2 linked regions of the Struthio camelus genome follow. The protein of the gene in region 2 purifies or fractionates together with the protein of the main gene of each other region. This does not show direct contact. Links are inferred from orthologs where the notes say so. Each region holds a gene or a part of one and is shown on either strand. Other genes may lie near its edges.

Region 1 (9,406 bases), on a different chromosome or scaffold from region 2:
GGTCCCTTCAGTTATCGTTCCACAGCCTCCAAGATTTTGTCTCTCAGCCATCTCACTGGCTGACAGCCCCCGAAAACCTCTCCAGACTGAGGATCTCCCCAGAGGCTTGTTCTCACCACAGATGAGTCCAAGACTGGCCCAGAGGACAAGGATCACTGGCCTAAGCCATACTCCTCCGCCACCCTGTTCCCACTGCTTCCCCTCACCAAGGATCACTCAGATAACAGCAGGGACGAACTAGAGCAGAGCCCCCCCACGCAACCGGGAAAGCAGTGTTAGAGGCACAGCAAATGCACTCGCAAAGGCCCTGCTTTGAAGGCTCTTCAGGCCCCACCTCACATGCATCGAGGGGCCGGAAGGACGCGTGAGGAGCCCCAGCTGCTGCGCTGCGGAGGCTGCTGGGCCATCCGGGCGTGCTGGGAATCGGAGCACCGCACGGGCCAGGGAGCGCACAGTGCTGCCTCCGTTGCAGCGCCAGGCGCTTCGCTTTCCCCTCCCTCCAGTTCTGCCCGAGGAGCCCATAATCCTTTGCCTGCAACAGTTTAATCCCTCGGACGGGAACAGGCCTCACAGAGACACCCTACAAGGAGTTGGTGTGTGTCGATACAGGACTCAGAGGATGTTCTTAGGGCCTAGGCTCTTGGCATGGCCATCACTAGTGGCTCTGACCAGGAGAGACACTGGGGAAGGAAAGAGAAGACCGTGGTCTGCCAAGGCCTGTCCACAGCATCCTCTCCCTCAGGTGAAGCAAAATATTGACTCAGGCAGCAAGGATAAACAGGAGCTTGAAGCATATTGCACAGCATTGAGTTAAGTAAGGCAAGATGGCTTTTTTCCCCCCCCAGCACTGGGGTTAAGATGACACATAATAAAGGAACAGAAAAAACCTGCACAGGATCCCACGCTCAGGTAAGCAGTTCATAAAGGCGAGCCAAAGCTAATGTCCCCCTGGTCAGCACACAGACCCAAGGTGGAAGAGTCACAGACACCCCAGGAGGACTGTGAAGCAAGGACATCTTTTAAAAACAAACCATTTAGCCCAGTTTGAAAGCAATCGAGTCTGGTCAAAGAACATAGCTCAAGAGAAAATGTGTCACAGCACATGATCCACCTTCAAAGTCGGCCCTGCTCTGAGCAGAGGGTTGGACCCGAGACCTCCAGAGGTCTCTTCCAACCAAAAGTATTTGACGACACTGCTGGCCTCGCTGCCAGCTGGGCCTGCCCACAGCAACTCACCGGTATTACGATTATCTATGTGAGCTCCTACCTGGCTGCTAGGACGTCTCACAGCATGCTATCAGGACACAGATACAGAGGGGAGCCAGGGGAGTCCAACACTGAATTGCTGTGCAAAAGGGTAACGGGACGGTGCCAGGATTTCCCAGAGCTGCTACGGTCAGGCAGGACCATCAGCTCAACTGCACTACGCCGAGCACCGGCAAAGAGATCCAGCTCACCACAGCCAGCGCTGGGGGGAGGCTCACAGACCGGCTCAGCTGGCAGCTCGTACAAACTGCTCTGCGGGGTTGCGCGCAGAGACATGATACCCTCTCTGTTCAGAGAGGAGGGGAAAAAAACAAGGTACCTGTAGGGGAGCAGATCTCTGCCCTCCCACGGGGAATTACGCAGCTGCTCCAGCCGCGGGGCCCGCAAGGGAAAGTCACGAGACCTTCCTGAAGAGCCGAGTGCCCGTGGAGGGGTGACCGCCCCTCTGCCCCAAGGACAAGGGCTGTAAGACAGAACAGCTAACACAATCGCACTGCTCCCATCATCTGCCTCCCCCCTGCTAGGGGCACGAAGGAAGTAGCATAAGAGAGACCCTTACGTGGGCAGTTCTGCTGGCCGGGGCTCTGCCGGGGCAGCAGCCCGGGGCGGTTCTGCCGACGCAGAACTGGGTGCTGCCGGGGCTGCGTCCTGGGCTGCTGCCAGCTCCCGAGGCCCCGCAGCTCCCCCAGCATCCGGTGCCGGCACGCGTTCCGCTGTCGACTCCATCTCGATCTCCTGAGCTGCAGGGGACGCTTTCACCCTCTCCGCTGCTGCGGCAGCCTCCTCCTCCTCCTTCTTCCTTAGCTTCGCTTCCAGCTCCCGGCGTCTCTTCTCGTCGTCCTGCCGGGCCATCCGCTCAAAGACTTTGAATGCCTGAAAGAGAGCGAACCGAGCAGATCGTCAAGCCACCAAGCTCTGGCTAAGAGGCTGGGGAAGATGGAAAGGAGACTCGCCATGTACTCGGGGCACATATCACTGTCCCTCCCTCTCCAGGATCCATGTGCCCCCCACTCCCTACCCCTGCCAAGTCTGAGTTGCTTAAATCACCAACAAAACCAGCCACCGATCGTTCTGAAAGTCGCACATCCCCATTAAACACCCTGACATCTTTGGAGAAAGCCCAAATTCCTAGGAGCTGCTTTGAAACCGTTTCTTGGGGTCTGTTCCAGCAGCCAAACTCACATCAGCCTCTGCTACAGGAAAGGGGGCTGGTTATTCCAGCAAAAAGCAACTAGCTTTCCCTCGCCTCCCCAGCCTGCTCTGCACACCCTCATCAATACTGGCTGAACTCCCGGCTAGTTCCCCACCTTCCCTCACCTCATCTTGCCTTCCAGCACTGACTAAGGAGCTGTTTGGAAGCCCAAAGCTCAAACCCAACATCCAAGGCATAAACAGGACGAGGTCCCCCAGGATAAACTACATGACAGCCGGTAGGGTAGGGTCCAGCCTGGGGCGGGCAGGGTGCTGGCTGAGAGCAAACGGACTCTGAGCTCTTGTTTAGCCAGCACGAGTGAGACGAACAGTGACCTTGTGCATGGTTTTGAGCCAGGACTGACTGGTTTTCAGGCAGAAAAAAAGGGACTCTGTCAGAGAAAAACTATCCCTCCGCACCACTCAGCGGTGTGGCGGGTAAGAAGGTCGCTCCCCAAGCCAGGCCCAGCCAGCTGACCCCAGCGAGGAGATAGCATTTTCTCCCGAACGAGTCAAGGGAAAGGACATCAAAGCAGAGCCCTGTTGCTTCACCCCAGATTTCAGGCATTTGCACAGCACACCTCAAAACCGAATAAGCCAACTCAGTTTGGTCCACAGAGGGAACTGAGCCCACCTGCTCCCTGCAACAGTACCAGACTCCAACACTTCACTCTTTCTTAGGGAGGTGAAGCAACGGTATGACAAGATATAATTCCACCCTCAAGTTTGCTTCTAGCCGTTCAGAGCAGACGCTGTGACCATCTAGGGCAGGCTGGAGGTTAAAAGGCAAATCTGCCACATGGACAGAGCAGCCTAGCAGCGCCGAAGCCGACGGAGGTACGACGACTATGGATCTGTGCCCCCACCTCCTCCTCAGAGCTAAAACTCCTTCCAGTCAACAGAGAACCGTGCAACTCGTCAGGGTAAACACCCGCCCTGGGCTAGAAAGCAAGCGAGAGTCAAATACAGTCCTCGCTCCCTTCCCTACACTGCCGGGGAACACTTCCGAGCCGACTTCAGCGCTTTCCGCTTCCCGCAGGAGACCGATCCTAGGCCGGGGACCAGGCACACCCAGGCCAGCCAGGGCGTGCAGCAGCACCGGCAGATCTGATTTCTTCCTCTGTGTTCGGTACTTGTAAGGCAAGGGGGGGCAGTGCGGGGAGGCCTCACACGAGTGCTGTTACAGCAGGACACGCGCAGCGTCACATTGGGTCTGCCTTATTCCCCTTAACCAGAGCTTGTTCCCTGCTCAGGGAAGAGGCCTGCGGGACAAAGCAGCCCGAGAGAAGGGAGAGGAGGGAGATGGACATTTGTCCCACTCCTCTCCCTTTGAGATCCCTTTCTTTTTCCCCACTCCTCCGTGTCCCGGCTTTCCTCAGTGCCCACCCCCAGCTCCTTCTCTCGAGCTCACAGCCTTTTTTTCCTGCGCCCACCCCGCCGGCAGCGCCCGCTCAGCCTGGCAGCGAGCTGATGAAAATAGCCCCGCGGCTGCTCCGAGGGCGGCAGCTGCTCTGCGACCAGACCCCGGGCAGGAGCGGGTGAAGCCAAGATCAGTCTAAAGGGCAAATATCCCAAACGGAGAGATATCGCCCTCCCCGAGAGAGGTCAAGGCACGGCATTACCTTACATCTCCACAGGAATCCCAGGCCATGACTCAAACGTGCTATTCATAGACCGTTTCCCCTGACCCGCCACCAAAAACGAAGCTCAAAGCAGCCTGAGGCAGATCACCCAGGGTGACACCTCAAACCCATCTCCTTCCCCTCGGGCTACAGCCAAAGCCCCGAGCCAGGAGAGGGGACAAAAAGTCCCTCTGAAGCACCCCACACCACCCTATGCCTCGAGCAGTCTCTTCACTCCAGACCCTCATGGCTAGGGCCAGGGAGCAAGCAAACGGCAGCCTCAAATAACATCTCTCTCGGGAGAGAAATACTTAGGTTACAGCGTTGTGGTCTCCCTCCTTGCACACAAGCCCAAAACAGTCCCTGGGGAAAACGTGAGAGCCACCACAACAGCTAAGCGGCAAAGGCCCGCGGCAGGGTGCAACCCTGGGCGACAGGGACACGCCAGCCGGGGGGTCGGCGACACAGGCTCCCTCCCGCCGTGGGCCACCCCAGGGTGGGCGCAGGGAGAGGGAACGGGGTCTCGCATCGGCCTGTCTGCCACCGCTTCGTGTCCACGGGCTGCCAGAGCTGGGAAGAAGCCCTAGTCTGAGCAGATGAACACCTCCACCAAGCCAGGCCCCCATCTCTCTCAGCCCTTTTCCTCCTTCCTAATAAAGATTAATAACAGACTGCGACAGCCTTGAGTCAGAGACCTCTAGCGCTCAGTTTTCAAAATACCAAGCCCAGCCCAGCTCAGCTGTGGAAACAAGAGTTTGGAGCATTTGCCGTCTCTCTGACTGCTACCAGCAACGCAAAAAGGCCCTGCCCTCCACGTGACATCCACAGTCTCTTCTCGCTTTTTCCTGCTACCCAGGAGCCCCAGCTCCCGCAGTTTGGGTCAGCAGCATCTGGCGAGCCCTAAAGCGAACCCCACTTGCCCAAAGTGCTGCTGGCAGTTGCCTTCTTCGCCTGTTGCCCTCGACACTGCCTGAGCTCCGAGAGGGCATCAGGCCCCAGCTCCTCCCGCGAAGGCCTCACAGGCCCTGCCTGCCCTTTGGGGCTCCTTGTCCTCTTGTTAAGGGCGATCCTTGCCATCCACTCCCCCATCAATCTGCCAGGACACCTCTCCCACCTTGCCCCTGCTCCTCTGAGGAACAGCAAGGAGCATACTAGGCAGCAGCAGCAAGCTGGAGCTTTACTGTGTGGCCTCCTGGTCTCGGGGTCCCCCACCTTCCTGGGTCTTGCCCCACAGGCTGCTGCTACAAGGCAGGTCCAGGCAGCCACCCTCTCCCCTCCGGCTCCAGCACCGGGTGAGACATCCACCCCTGCAAAGACGGCGGGGACCGTCGCTCCGCAAACACGCCTGCAAAGCTCAACGGGAAGGACAACAGCAACCGACGGGGCCTTCAGGCCTCCCTGCCCGACAGCCCGGCCCGGCCGCCGACCCTCCCGAGGCCACCGGCCACCCTGAGGCCTCCAAGGCCTCGGGGCCGGCTCGGAGGGCAGGGCCGCGGCGGGGGGCGCTCTCGGGGGCCCTCAGGCGCCGAGCCGGGGCGGGGGGCCGCGGCGAGGCCCGGGGCCGCCCCGCCGGTACCTGGAGGGCCATGGCCTGGGCGGCGCCGGGCGGGAAGCCCAGGCGGTCGCCGGGCCGCAGCAGGAGGCGGTAGAAGTCGGTCTTGCGGTAGAGGAAGCCGAAGAGGACGCGCAGGAACTCCTCCACGTTGCCGACGTGCTGCAGGATGCCGAGCAGCGCTTGGTCGTACATGTCGGTCAGCGCCGCCGCGGCCTCCATGGCGGCTCCGGCCTTCGCCCCCCCCGCCGCCGCCGCCGCCGCCGCTGTCACGGCAACCGGGCCCGGCGGGCGCTTCCGGTCCGCCCCCGACAGCGCCCCCCGCGCTTCCGCCAGCGGCCCGCCGCCCTCAGCGGCCCGTCCGGAAACCGTTCCCTCCTCTCCCCCCCCCGCCCTCCCGCTCCGCGCGGCAAGGTTCCGAGGCAGCGAGCGCGGAGGCCGAGCTAGACCGCCGCCGCCCCACGTGACGGCAGGCGAGGCGGCAGGCGCCATCTTGGTTGTGGGCAGTCGGGCGGGCGCGGTCGGGGGTCGCCGCCGCCATCCCCGCGGCCCCATGGCGCCCCGCGGAGCCCCCGGGGAGCCGGGAGCCCCCGCCGCCGTCCAGGGCCTCCCGCCGCCCGCCGTGGCCGGCAATGGCGGTGCCGGGTGCCCCGGGGACAGGCCCGGCCAGCGCCTCCCACGGGGCCCCGGCCCCAGGGGTCAGTGCCCCCCCCCTCCTCCGGCCCCATGGACCCCTCGGGGTCCCGCGGTGCCCGTGGGGTCCCCCCGCCCTGCCCCACAGTGCCGCAGGAGCCCCCCAGCCCCCCCAGTGCCGCCTGAGCCCCCCCCAGCCCCCCAATAGTGCCAATGGGACCCCCCCAGCCTCCAAGATACCTAGTGGGACCCCCTAACCCCCCGATAGTGCCAGTGGGACCCCCCAGCCCCCCAAGAGACCCAACGTGACCCCGCCAGCCCCCCAATAGTGCCAGTGGGACCCCCCAGGCCCCCAAGAGACCCAATGTGACCCCCCCAGCCCCCCAATAGTGCCAGTGGGACCCCCCAGCCCCCCAAGAGACCCAATGTGACCCCCCCAGCCCCCCAATAGTGCCAGTGGGACCCCCCCAGCCTCCAAGATACGTAGTGGGACCCCCTAACCCCCCAATAGTGCCAGTGGGACCCCCCAGCCCCCCAAGAGACCCAATGTGACCCCCCCAGCCCCCCAATAGTGCCAATGGGACCCCCCCAGCCTCCAAGATACCTAGTGGGACCCCCTAACCCCCCAATAGTGCCAGTGGGACCCCCCAGCCCCCCAAGAGACCCAACGTGACCCCGCCAGCCCCCCAATAGTGCCAGTGGGACCCCCCAGGCCCCCAAGAGACCCAATGTGACCCCCCCAGCCCCCCAATAGTGCCAGTGGGACCCCCCAGCCCCTCAATAGAGCCAATGGGACCCCCCCAGCCCCTCCAAGAGAGCCAGTGGGACCCCCTAGCCTCCCAGTAGAGCCAATGGGACCCCTCAGTCCCCCCAAGAGACCCAGTAGGACTCCCCCAACCCCCCAATAATGCCAATGGGACCCCCTAGGCCCACAAGAGAGACAATAGGACCCCCCAGCCCCCCCCAAGAAAGCCAGTGGGACCTCCAGCCCCTAATAGAGGCAATGGGACCCCCCAGACCCACCAAGAGAGCCAGTGGGACCCCCCAGCCCCCAATAATGGCAATGAGACCCCCCCAGCCCCCTGATAGTGCCAATGGGACCTCCCCCAGCCCCCTCAACCCCCCCAATAGTGCCAATGGGTCCCCCTCCAGCCCCCCAATAGTGCCAATGGGACCCCCAAGCCCCCCAAGATACCTAGTGAGACCCCCTAACCCCCCGATAGTGCCAGTGGGACCCCCCAGCCCCCCTAAGAGACCCAGTGGGATCCCTCAGCCCCCCAATAATGCCAATGAGCCCCCCCCAGGTCCCCAAGAGACCCAGTGTGACCCCCCAGTCCCCCAATAGTGCCAGTGGGACCCCCCAGCCCCCTAAGAGAGCCAGTGGGATTCTCCCCAGACCCCAATAGTGCCAATGGGACCCCTCCAGCCCCCCCAAGAGACCTAGTGGGACCCCCTAACCCCCCGATAGTGCCAGTGGGACCCCCTAGTCCCCCAAGAGAGCCAGTGGGACCTCCCCCAGCCCCCCCAGCAGTGGAGCACCGCGTGGGCCCACCCCAGCGGCAGCCAGACAGTGGGACGCGGTGGGGCCCAGCCAGCCTTTATTTTGGGGAGGGGGAAGGGGGAAAAAGGGGGACAGGGACACGGCCACGGGCACCCCTCGTGGGCGGTCACTTCTTGACCTTGCCCTGGGCGGCCACGGCCTCCATGGCCTTGCGCACGGTCTCCTCGTCGCCCAGGAACTGCATGGGCTTGGTGGGTTTCAGCGCCGCGTCCAGCTCGTAGACGATGGGGATGCCCGTGGGCAGGTTGAGCTCCATGATGGCCGCGTCCGACATCCCTGCGGCGCGGCGTTGGGGGACAGGGACGTGCGCGTCAAGCCGGTGGTCGGTGGGGACGCCCAGATCCCCCCCCCAACCCAACCCAACCCGACCCAACCCAACCTGACCCAACCCAACGCAACCCGACCCAACCCAACCTGACCCAACCCAACGCAACCCAACCGGCTTCGGGGAGGGGGGAAACCTGAGCCGGCCGGGAAAGAGGAAAGGCCAGAGGAGCTGGAAATAGCCTTGACCTTCAGCGGCAGGGGGAACGGAGACCCAGCACCCGCGGGGGCCGCCGGCAGGGTGGCTGGCACCCACCTTCGAGGTGCTTGACGATGCCGCGGAGGCTGTTGCCGTGCGCGGCGATGAGCACCCGCTTGCCGGCCTTGATCTGGGGCACGATGTGCTCGTTCCAGAAGGGCAGAGCCCGGGCGATGGTGTCCTTGAGGCTCTCGCAGCTGGGCAGCTCGCCGGGCTTGAGCTCGGCGTAGCGCCGGTCCTGGGGGGGGGGTCACCGTGCCGCCCCGTTACCCTCCTGCTGTCCCCCTCTCTCCCCTCGTCCCCTTCCCTCCGTGTCGCCCCGTGTCCACGTTCCCCTCCTGTCCCCATGTCTCCTATCCCTGTTCCTGCCGTGTCCCTCCCATGTCCCGATATCTCCCCACGTCCCCCCATGTCCTCATATCCCCCCGTGTCCCCCCGTGTCCACATCCCCCCCATGTCCCCATATCTCACGTGCTCCCACGTCCCCATTCCCGTGTCCCCCATCTCTGTTCCCTCCGTGTCCCCCCTTATCCCTCCATGTCCCCCTATCCCCCATGTCCCCCATGTCCATGTTCCCCCCATGTCCCCAATCCCTGTTCCCTCCGTGTCCCCCCATATCAGTCTGTGTCCCCATATCCCCCCATGTTCCCCATGACCCCCCGTGTCCCTCCATGTCCATGTTCCCCCCATGTCCCCATATCCCCCCATGTCCCCTCATGTCCACGTTCCCCCCATGTCCCCATATCCCATGTCCCCCCATCCCTGTTCCCTCCATGTCCCCCCGTGTCCCTATATCGCCCCACATCCCCCCATGTCCCCATATCCCCCCGTGTCCCCCCATGCCCTCAAGCCCCCCCATCCTCATTCCCTTGCGTTCCCATTCCTCCATGTCCCTGTCCCCTCACGTCCCTTCCTGTCCCCATGGCCTGATGTGGCTGTGGGGGGGGGACAGGGTGCGAGTGGGGTTGTGGGGGCACGTGGGGGCACGTGGGGCTGCAGGCAGGATTGCATGTAGGGTGCAGAGACGGGTGCAGGCAGGATATGGGGGCTGGGGGGGT
Region 2 (9,406 bases):
TGTGTGGCCTGTTACCAATTAAAATTTTACTAAGAAGTCAATGAGCTGTGAGTGGCATTTAAATTCTTTCAGTGAAAATAATTGTAATATAGTTGAACTACCTCTTACAACTCATTGACTTTTTAATCATTAGCTGTTAATTCCTGCTGACTTAGTCAATACTTTTTAGCAGCCTTCTGAGAAAATGAGATAACTAAGATTTTGCCTTTTGTCCAAGACACACAGCTTTTGACCCCATTTCCAAATGCCAACCGCATTTGTTAGCGGGGCAGAAATCTCAAACATATTCAATTTCTACAAACTTCCTGAAAATTGGCAGCTGGAATAAATGAAAGAGACTCGGTGTCTCCAGTGCAAGCTCAACAGTTATCCATCCTGCTTTGCCTGCCGAAAGGCAAATCAGCACACGCGTGGATCCAAACCAGCCACAGGATATAATTAAGGAAAGTGAAAGGAGACGAGTGACAGCGGGAAAGTTTATGGGAACGTGCGGTAGGAATGAAACACGTCGGCGAGGCGTCGGAGGGAAAAGACAGCAAGGATGTTGACGCACGGCGGCTGGTTGGCTGAGGGGGCCTGAGCGCAAGCGGGGGCCCCGGCGGCGAAAGAGCAGGGCTAGTGCCTTAGGGAGGAGGAGATGAGGCAGTAAGCAAGTCACCGGGAACTTCAGGAGTTCTGCCTTTTTTATCCAGTAACGGCTTCATGCTTCCCCTATTCTCCTTCTGAAGAAAAAAAGAACTTAAATTTTTAAGCAACAGCTAAGCGTTCGCCGAAACAGGTCCGAGCCCCGGCACCAACCCTGAGCCGCAGTCTCCCCGCTCCGCCAACAGCCGCCCGTTTCCCCACGCCGCTGATGGCCAACAGCCATTTCTGCGGCACCCGCTCCCACGACCCCCTTCCGCTGCCGCAGCCCAGCCGCCCGGCCGAGCGGGGGGCGAGGGGGCCCGGCCCGGCCCCGGCCCCGGCCGCGGCTCCCGGCCCCGCTCTGCCGTTGCAGCCCGCCCCTCCCCCCGCGGGGCCCCCGCCGGCCGGGGGGGGGGGGGGACGAGGCGAGGGGGCGCGGGCCGGCGGCGGCACCTACCTCTGGGCAGCAGCGGCGCTGGAGACGCGGCTCCTCCCGCCGCAGCCGCAGGGACGGGGGCCTCGGCGTAACATAAAGCCGGAGGCGGCGGAGGAGGAGGGACGCGCCGGGGGGCTGAGGAGAGGGGCAACGGCTGAGGCAGAGCCGGGAGGAGGAGGAGGAAGAAGGGGGGATCCTGGGCTCCCTCCTCCCCGCCGTCGGTGCTCGGGGGGAGGTGGGGAGCCGCCCCCCGCCGCGCCGCGCCGCGCCGCGCCGCCCGGGCCCCGGCGCTCTGGGCCGCTCCCCGCCCCCCGCCGCTCACGCTTGTTTACCTTCTGCGCTGCCTAGCGCGGCCGCAGGCGCCATCTTCCCCCGCGACAGGCGCCCCGCGCCGGCCGTCACTTCCGCTGCCACCTGCGGGCCCGCCGGGGCGGGGGCGGGAACGGGAACGGGGGGCCGCGCCCGGCACCGCGGGCCGCCGCCGGCGACATCCCCGGGACTCTCCGGGGCCGGCCAGCCAGCCGCCGAGCCCCTCCCGCTGACTGACACCGGCAGCCGCGGGGGAGACCCGGCGCCCCCCGGGGAAGAAAAGTCCCTCGCGAGAGGCCAGCGGCGGCCGCGTCTGGCTGGGGATGGGGAAGGCAGTAGCAAGAAGCATCGTTATGTTTGGCCTGTTACTACAGTCTTCCACAAGTATCTATATGCTTTTGGTCCCTTTGAGGCTTGTTGTTTTGTTCCGCCCTTCAGTTTCCAAGCCCGGTCCCGGTTTTGCAGAGGTCTCGTTTATCATCAGTTTTCCTCCTCTCCGTTTTCTTGGGCAGCAGCACAAGATGTTGCACAGAAACGCGCCCCGACCGACGACAACCCCTTTCAGGAGCTTGTTGAACTCCCTCCCCTGACAGCTGGCCACCCTCGGGTGCTGCGGGCTGACCCTACAGCTGTCTTCTTGCCACAGTGAGAATCGGGTCACCAGAGCCACAGGCCCTGCTTGCTAGCATAGCTGCCCTGGGGCAGCAAACTGCGCGTAGCTGACAGGAAACCGCGGCCCAGCAGGGGATGAGCAGGTTTCTGCCCTAGCCCAAACTTCACCTCCTTGCTTTCTGCAGCTTGCCCTTGCCCAGCAATCAGTGACTTCAGTGCAAGAAGGAAAAACAGCCAACACTTCCCACCCATGTAATGACAGCGCGCTAAACTGTGTCGACCATTGGTCTGCCACTGCCACCCCCAAACCATTCACTACCTGCTACTGTACCTCTCCCATCACCTTCTATCTCACTTGCTGCCTTTAATAACAGGCCACACGCTGCCATCCTCTCTGTTTATTGCTGTTCCCATCCCTTTCACTATCTATTTTCAGTCTCTCATTACCACCCCCATCCCATTCTTGATTTATGACACAAGAACATAACTGCTCTGTAACTGCCACCCCCAATCTGAATGCCCTTCCCACCTTTCATAGCTCCACAACCAACCAGCTATGCCGTGCACTGCTTCACAGAAGACTTCCCACTGCTATTCCCACTCTGCTAACTGACCTCCTACTGCTCCCTCACGGCCTACTTAGGCCACACTACAATCAGCCGGCTCCCATTCACTCCATCATACCAACAACCTGACCTCTCTCTACTCAGCTAACTTCATACCATTCCATCTCGTGCCCTAACTCATGCAGTAAATTTGCCCCGTTTCCCCGGTCACTGCTTCAAAACCTGTTACTAATGCAGTTATGGTTAAACAAACTAACGTTTATCTATTGACTCTCTCCAAGAGAGCTACTGTTGCTGCCCTCTAAGTCTTACAGAGAAAAGACATTCTCATCCTTAGTCATAGGATATATGTCCTCTGCTGTTCCAACCACATACCCACTCATAGCACACTCATGCTTCAGTAAAGAAAAATTGGAGTAGGAAATAAATATTTTGTACAGAAATGATACAACATGAACAACTTTCTGCTCTCTTCAGACTTTTCACCTTCATAGGTCAGTTAAAGGTGGAAAGAGCTAGCAGGACTGTTTTGGTTTCAGCTGTCATTTTGCTGTTGGCAGTTTGTGGCCGGCCGACGTATAAGACGATCTTTAGGTCTCCCATACACTGCCACAGAAGACAACCTCAAACCAAGCCAAACTGCCTCCTGACAGCTTTGACATACTCACTGTCAACATAAAAAAGCACAACAAAACAAACCTCCTTCTCCTTCACATTAGACAATTTGCTTCTAATGAAAAAATCAAAATGCGTTAATAATGCCTCAATTTTAATCTCCTAACTAAAAACGTTATTAACTTTGAGCCCCAGCCAACGACCACTGGTGTCAGTATTACCTTAATGAGCATTAATGCAAATGGAGATTTGGATGGAAACCTCTCATTTAGGCATCTGTACAATCTCGGTTGCTAAGTAGTTCCCACTGACATAAATGAGACTATTACCATAAAATTATGCACTTGAGTGTTTGAGCTATATTAGTACACTAGTTGCCATTTCATTTGTGTAGTTTTAAACCTTATTTATTTTATATGTATAGGTGTATGAGTAATACACTTGACAGTTCCTAAAAACGTGAGGTTTTATCCTGTTTTATTAGACATTTGCCAGTCTTTAGACTTTTCTGGTTTTTTCTTCATATTAGGAGAACTCAAAAATGGAGTGAATCAAAGTAAGACCATCTCAGAATATGTGAAATGTATAATTTTATTTTTAAAGTAGGAGAAACGGTTTGTGTACTTTTTCAGATGCCTAACATCTCTTGGCAAGGATTAAATCATTTATAAAGGCTATTGCAAATGTGACAAAAACTGCTTCTATAATTTTATATTGCACTGTGCTGTTGTATAATTTACACAGCTAAATAAGTACAGAGCCTGGTATTTTCAGCTCATTTTCACAAAACAGTGATTATACATGCCTAGAAGTCCAGGCAACTATAACCAAGTATTGCATCATGCTCCCATCATACTTTGTGTACCTCAGTCATAAGCATCTACTCTTTTTCCTAGAAGTGGGATAATTTATTGAAAATTGTAATACATCATCTAGCCTGAAAAAGACTAGATACAAATTTTTTAATTTTACATTTTGTATATAATTTTATAGTTTTTTATTTCATGTATTTTGGATTTATAGTAGATTTATATTCATTTTTGGTCAATTTGTGCAGAACTATTGTGTTGCAGGACAAAACAGAGTTTATCACTGGCAACATCACTGCATCCACTGTAAGGTTTCTTGCTACATTCGCATATTCATTTCTTCAAAACAAGAATGCTGCCAATGCACTTGCTCTAGGTTTTTTGGAGTAAAACTCACGTCTGAATCTTGTTTCAGGAAAGAAATGGAAATATTAGGATTTGTGAAAGTGGGAGGTTACAAGCATTTTTAAGCCAGGCATACCAGTTTTGTACAGATTTCCATCATCACACTTCAGTCACGTTGTCGGGTATTCCAAACCTATTTTTGTCACCCAGTTAGCCAGGCAATATCCGAGTACCTTCACATTTTTCAGTAGGCAAAGACACTGCTGATGAACATGGATGTATTTGACACAACGGTTACTTACATTGAAACCTGTTTCTCTGAGATCATAGAAGAAATCCTACTAGGAGCAATAGCCTCTATGCCTGTAAGAAGAGGTTTCCATGAAGGAGACAGTTTGAGTTTCCAAGTGGAAGGGCTAGGAATTTGGCCGTTATCTCATAGTCTCTGTTAAACTTCCAAGCTGGCTGTCATCACTGCACCAGGGATTTTATTTGAATTTTAAAGCACTTATGTTGTGCCCAAATCTGAAAACAGCATGCATGTGGTGGGGGTTTTAGTTGTCTGGTATGAAAGATTCGAGCTGTTCATTCTTGGGGCAGGGTCTTATGTCCATATGTTCTCTATACCACTAAGCACTGAGCCTACAAAAGACAGCAAGAAGAAGAAGGTTGACATTCAAAATCTTGTTAGGCAGATGGCCAGCAAAGATTACTAACATTTGTATAGTGACATTTTACCGTAAAAACACAAACACAAATGCTCTGACATCAAATTAGGTGTTCTCTTTTCTAGTGCATACAAACACATCTGGTTGTCATTTTCACCCTTATCCTCTTTTCTGCCTCATGCCCATTTACTGTGCTAGATAAACCTGCATTTTCTTGCTGTTGCATATGCATCAACAAAAGCTGATCCTCACTGCCATCCATAACCACAGAAAGAAACTCATTCTTTTGGTACAGCTCTCAGCAAAACCAGCCCCCATCTTGATTACAGCATCGAAGCGACTACATTTTAGGTATTACATACCGCAATAATATAAAATAACAGCGGGGCCCAGGCAGCCTGCAGTTCTAAAGACAAGAGACAACCCCTTTTCAACAGAAATACTTAAAACACGCTAATTTATGAGGCGTTTGTCACTGCCACAGGAACGCGAGGCTGCGTGTAAGACCAAGCACAAACCGTCCCTGACGGTACGTCTGAAGGAGCTCACCTCTCGCCATCCCCCCTCCCTCTCTTCAGCGCCTCCGCCCGCGCAACGGCCCCGTCGCCCCGGGCTCACGACCGTTCCCTGAAGATGGGGGGGGGAGGGGCGGCGGGCGCGCACTGCGCACGCGCGCCGCGGCCCCGCCCCGCTGCCCGCCACCCGCGCGCGCACGCGCACGGCCCCCGCCCGGCTCGCGGCGCTGGCGCACGCGGAGCGGCGCCTGCCGCAGGCCCGGTTGCATCACCCCGGCGCGAGGCAGACGCGGGGTCCTTCCCGGGGCTGCCCCGCCGCGCGCCTGAGCCGCTCCCGCCCCGCGGCGTGCCTGGCGGCGGCCCCGCGCCGCTCCGCGAGGCGGCGGCCCGAGCCGAGCGCCTCGGTACCGCCGGGCGGGCGGCGGGCGGGGCGCGGGCGGCGGCGGCGCCGAGCCCCGCCGGGGGTCAGGCGGCCGCCGCGGGCTCCTCGCTTCCTCTTCGGGCAAAGATGGCGGGGGATGAGGCGGGAGTGACTCTGGGGCAGCCGCACCTCTCCCGGCAGGACCTCGCCACCTTGGTGAGGGGGGCGCGGCGGCGGGCGGCGGGGCCGCCGGCACGCGGAGGCTGAAGGGATGCGGGCTCCCCCGCCCCCGGGCCGGGCGGCCGTTGGGGGCCGCCGGCTGGCAGGGCGGCGGGGCCGGGGAGGGGGCGCGGGGCCGGGCGGCGCTCCGGGCCGGCCGCGGGAGCCGGTCAGGCTGGGCGGGGCGGGCGGGATGGGGCCCCTGGCTCGCTGGAGCCGTGAGAGGAGAGCGGAGCTCGGTGGGCTTGCCTCCCGGCTCCCTCGGCAGGGGAGGCCTTCGTGTGGCGACGGTGGGGGACGTGCCGCGCCCTCCTCCTCAAAGGCTGCTTTGCCCGAAGGAGAATTGCGCTTTGGTTTTCTCTTCTCCGAGGGGGCTAGGCAGTTTGCTTGCCTGCGCCGTCTGGGTTGGTCTTTGTGTGCTCCGCAAAGACCACCAGGAAATCAGTCGCAGAGGGTCTCTCGCTGTGGTCGGCTCGCCGAATAGATGCCTAGCCGCGGCTGTCTCACTTTCTTCATGTACGCAGGCAGAGCCAGTCAGAAGTCCCACTGGTTGCTGTCTCCCTGGTTTTCAGCAAATTAGGGGTTATTTTTGTCTTTACAGTGTTAACGTTTCTGAGCACAGGAGTTTTCTCCGTGTTGTACGTAAGCATGTTGATACTCAGGAGTGAAGCATGTTAATTGTTTCAGAAGGTTCCTTTACTCGCTTCCTTTTCTGGTTGGCCTTGGTATTTGCCAACTGGAAAAAGAGCAGACGTGCTTAACTGGGAGGTCAGTATGAATTATGCTTAAGCCCTGTCCTGTATTAATTTCATTTGGCTGTTGAGTGCTCGCATTTGGCTGGAGCTTATAGCCAAACTTAACCTTATACTAGTCTTGAGGGAAAAAAATGCATACGTACGTAATTGTGTGCTGGGAGCAGCTCTGTTGATGACAGGTTTTGCGTCATGCGTATATGCATGTCATCCTACTATATAGTGCCGTCTGCAGGTCACGTCCCCCCTTCTGACTTCAGTAGATCTAGTCATGTTAAGTTGGGTGTACAAGAAGTATATATTCAAGCGCCTCTGTTAAATGAACAAAACTTGTTTATCTGTTGAACCTGAATACTAAGTTCATGTAATTCCTGAAAATAAGCTAAAATACAATGAGTGAAATTCATGAAAATGTAATGGGTAGAATGAACTTGCTCATTATAGGCCTGAACTTAGCCTTAACTGCATAAGATTGTATTTCATCACTGTGCACAGAATCTGTCTGTATGACAGTGTAGACAGTATATGATTCTGTGCCAATTAGTGTGTATGCACGTGTACTGTATGCATCTTCACAAAGTATTTGTGTGACGTCCTGCACTGAGAACTGTTCTGGCATTGTGGATCTTTGCTTGAACTCAGCAGCCCACCCACATGGACTCGGTGCAGGATCAGGCCTTCAGGCCTTGAAATTAACTGTGAACAATCTCAGAAATAGCGCAGAAGAACGTTTCAGTGGATTTCAATGTTTATCCAGTATTGGAACAAATAGCCTTAAAAGAAAAAAGCTGTCTTAGAGTTGTTAGGGTTGTTTTCTTTTTTTTTTTCCCCGCTAGTGAATGTATCTGTAAGTGTTCTGATTTGACACATGCTACCAGTAAGTTGTACTTACATGTTGATTGTGATGGACCATTCCTTTTGTGATAAACGTTTACTTTAAAAACAGAAGTACAATTGCTCATTTCACGCATGGAAAATTAATATGAATTTGTCTGTTTTGTATGACAAGTTTTGGGGGAGTTGCTTTTGGTTTTAGTTTTCTGTTTTGTTGTTTATTTATTATTTACTTATTATTTATTTTTATTCATTTTTTCGTTGTATTGTTTATTTATTTATTATTTATTTATTTTTACTTCCGTCCTTCCTTAATGCTTTGTGACCTATATTGGTTGTAGGGTTTTGTTCCCTTGTGTCCTGCTTCACATATTTAGAATAATAGAATTCATATCTAGAATTATTTTAATTAGCTTAGTTGGATTTTGCTTCGTAGAATTAATAAATAATTTTTAATAAGACGCACATAGTACTCTTTAAGCGTTTAAATACAAAGTGAATAAATTGTAAAGTCTTCTTCATACAGGATGTTACCAAGCTGACACCTCTCTCACCAGAAGTCATCAGCAGACAAGCCACAATTAATATAGGTAAAAAATAAATGTCTAAAAAAGAGGGGGGCCTTACTGTGACTCTGGTGCTCATGCATTAGCATATGGTACCTATGTGACAGAATTTTTAAAATGTTCTTATTGAAGCAGACAGTAATACAGATATAAACATAGTTCCTAGACATAGTGTTTGCATTTTAAATGTTATCAAGAAACGGAAAACTTGTGAGACCCTTTTACCTTGAAAATCACTGTGGTTTTTTGCAAGAATATTATATTGAAGGATGGTTGGGGGGTAATTGGGGAGTAATATTGTATCTTAAAATTGGACAGTAAAATGAGTTACATGAAAATGCAAAGATTTATCTGTTTAGAGCTTATCTTAGGATTTTATTTGTTTGAACAAAAATGATGAAGGAATCCATTTGTGCTTCTGAAGGGAGCTCTGGACCTGCTGGCTCCAGAGGGTTTGGGGCAGTAGCATACCGTGTAATGGAACGTTATACAAATTAAACAGCTGTTTACTCACACACATTTGCTTTTAAAACATAGGTACAATTGGCCACGTAGCCCATGGAAAGTCGACAGTAGTCAAAGCTATATCTGGAGTTCATACTGTCAGATTTAAAAATGAACTGGAAAGAAATATCACAATCAAGCTGGGTTATGCTAATGCCAAGGTGAGTCATTACAATGAACCTAGCACTTATGTTCAATTTGACTTACTAATGTATTTGACGTTGGACATAAGCTTGTAACAGGCTTTTGATTCATTAAACTTCTTCTAATTTTTAAAAAATACTTACAGATTTACAAGCTGGATGACCCAAGCTGTTCCCGACCAGAGTGTTACCGATCTTGTGGAAGTAGCACCCCAGATGAGTTCCCTACAGATATTCCTGGCACCAAAGGGAATTTTAAACTAGTCAGGTAACTGCTGTAAAATGGAAGATACAAACTGTGTTTTGCTTGTTTGTGCTTCCCTTCTTGTGACTGAAAATAGTCCGGATTGAGCTGCAAGGTGAATGAATGGTTCTGGTAGACCACATGCTCTTGCAGGCTGTAAGTGGGGTACCCCTAACCTCTAAGGTATCATTTAAACTGCCTTTTTTTTTTTTTTTTTGTTAAATATTAGTGATGGTGCACAATCCAGGGAAAAGCATAGCAGTATTTTCTGTCCTTGGTTATTT

What was found.
Region 1: the proteins of KLHL15 (region 2) and NUDCD3 purify together in Homo sapiens (co-immunoprecipitation; 3 studies listed by BioGRID and IntAct, with this or other methods). This does not show direct contact. The link is inferred for Struthio camelus from reciprocal best matches to the Homo sapiens genes KLHL15 and NUDCD3.

The regions. Positions count from the first base shown.
Region 1 is NC_090968.1:1,537,892-1,547,297, reverse strand, and holds the start of NUDCD3 (nudC domain-containing protein 3), read right to left. Parts: upstream 5,943-9,406; 5' UTR 5,854-5,942; coding exon 5,656-5,853; intron 2,754-5,655; exon of another isoform or gene 2,656-2,753; coding exon of another isoform or gene 2,584-2,655; intron 2,140-2,583; coding exon 1,826-2,139; intron 1-1,825. Other genes in the region: PGAM2 (phosphoglycerate mutase 2), read right to left, coding at 7,932-8,101, 8,406-8,586.
Region 2 is NC_090942.1:135,261,790-135,271,195, reverse strand, and holds the start of KLHL15 (kelch-like protein 15), read right to left. Parts: upstream 5,619-9,406; 5' UTR 5,534-5,618; intron 4,959-5,533; exon of another isoform or gene 4,619-4,958; intron 1,496-4,618; exon of another isoform or gene 1,393-1,495; intron 1,196-1,392; exon of another isoform or gene 1,082-1,195; intron 723-1,081; exon of another isoform or gene 659-722; intron 1-658. Other genes in the region: EIF2S3 (eukaryotic translation initiation factor 2 subunit 3), read left to right, coding at 6,008-6,076, 8,192-8,255, 8,769-8,896, 9,025-9,146. UniProt on the Homo sapiens protein: Substrate-specific adapter for CUL3 E3 ubiquitin-protein ligase complex.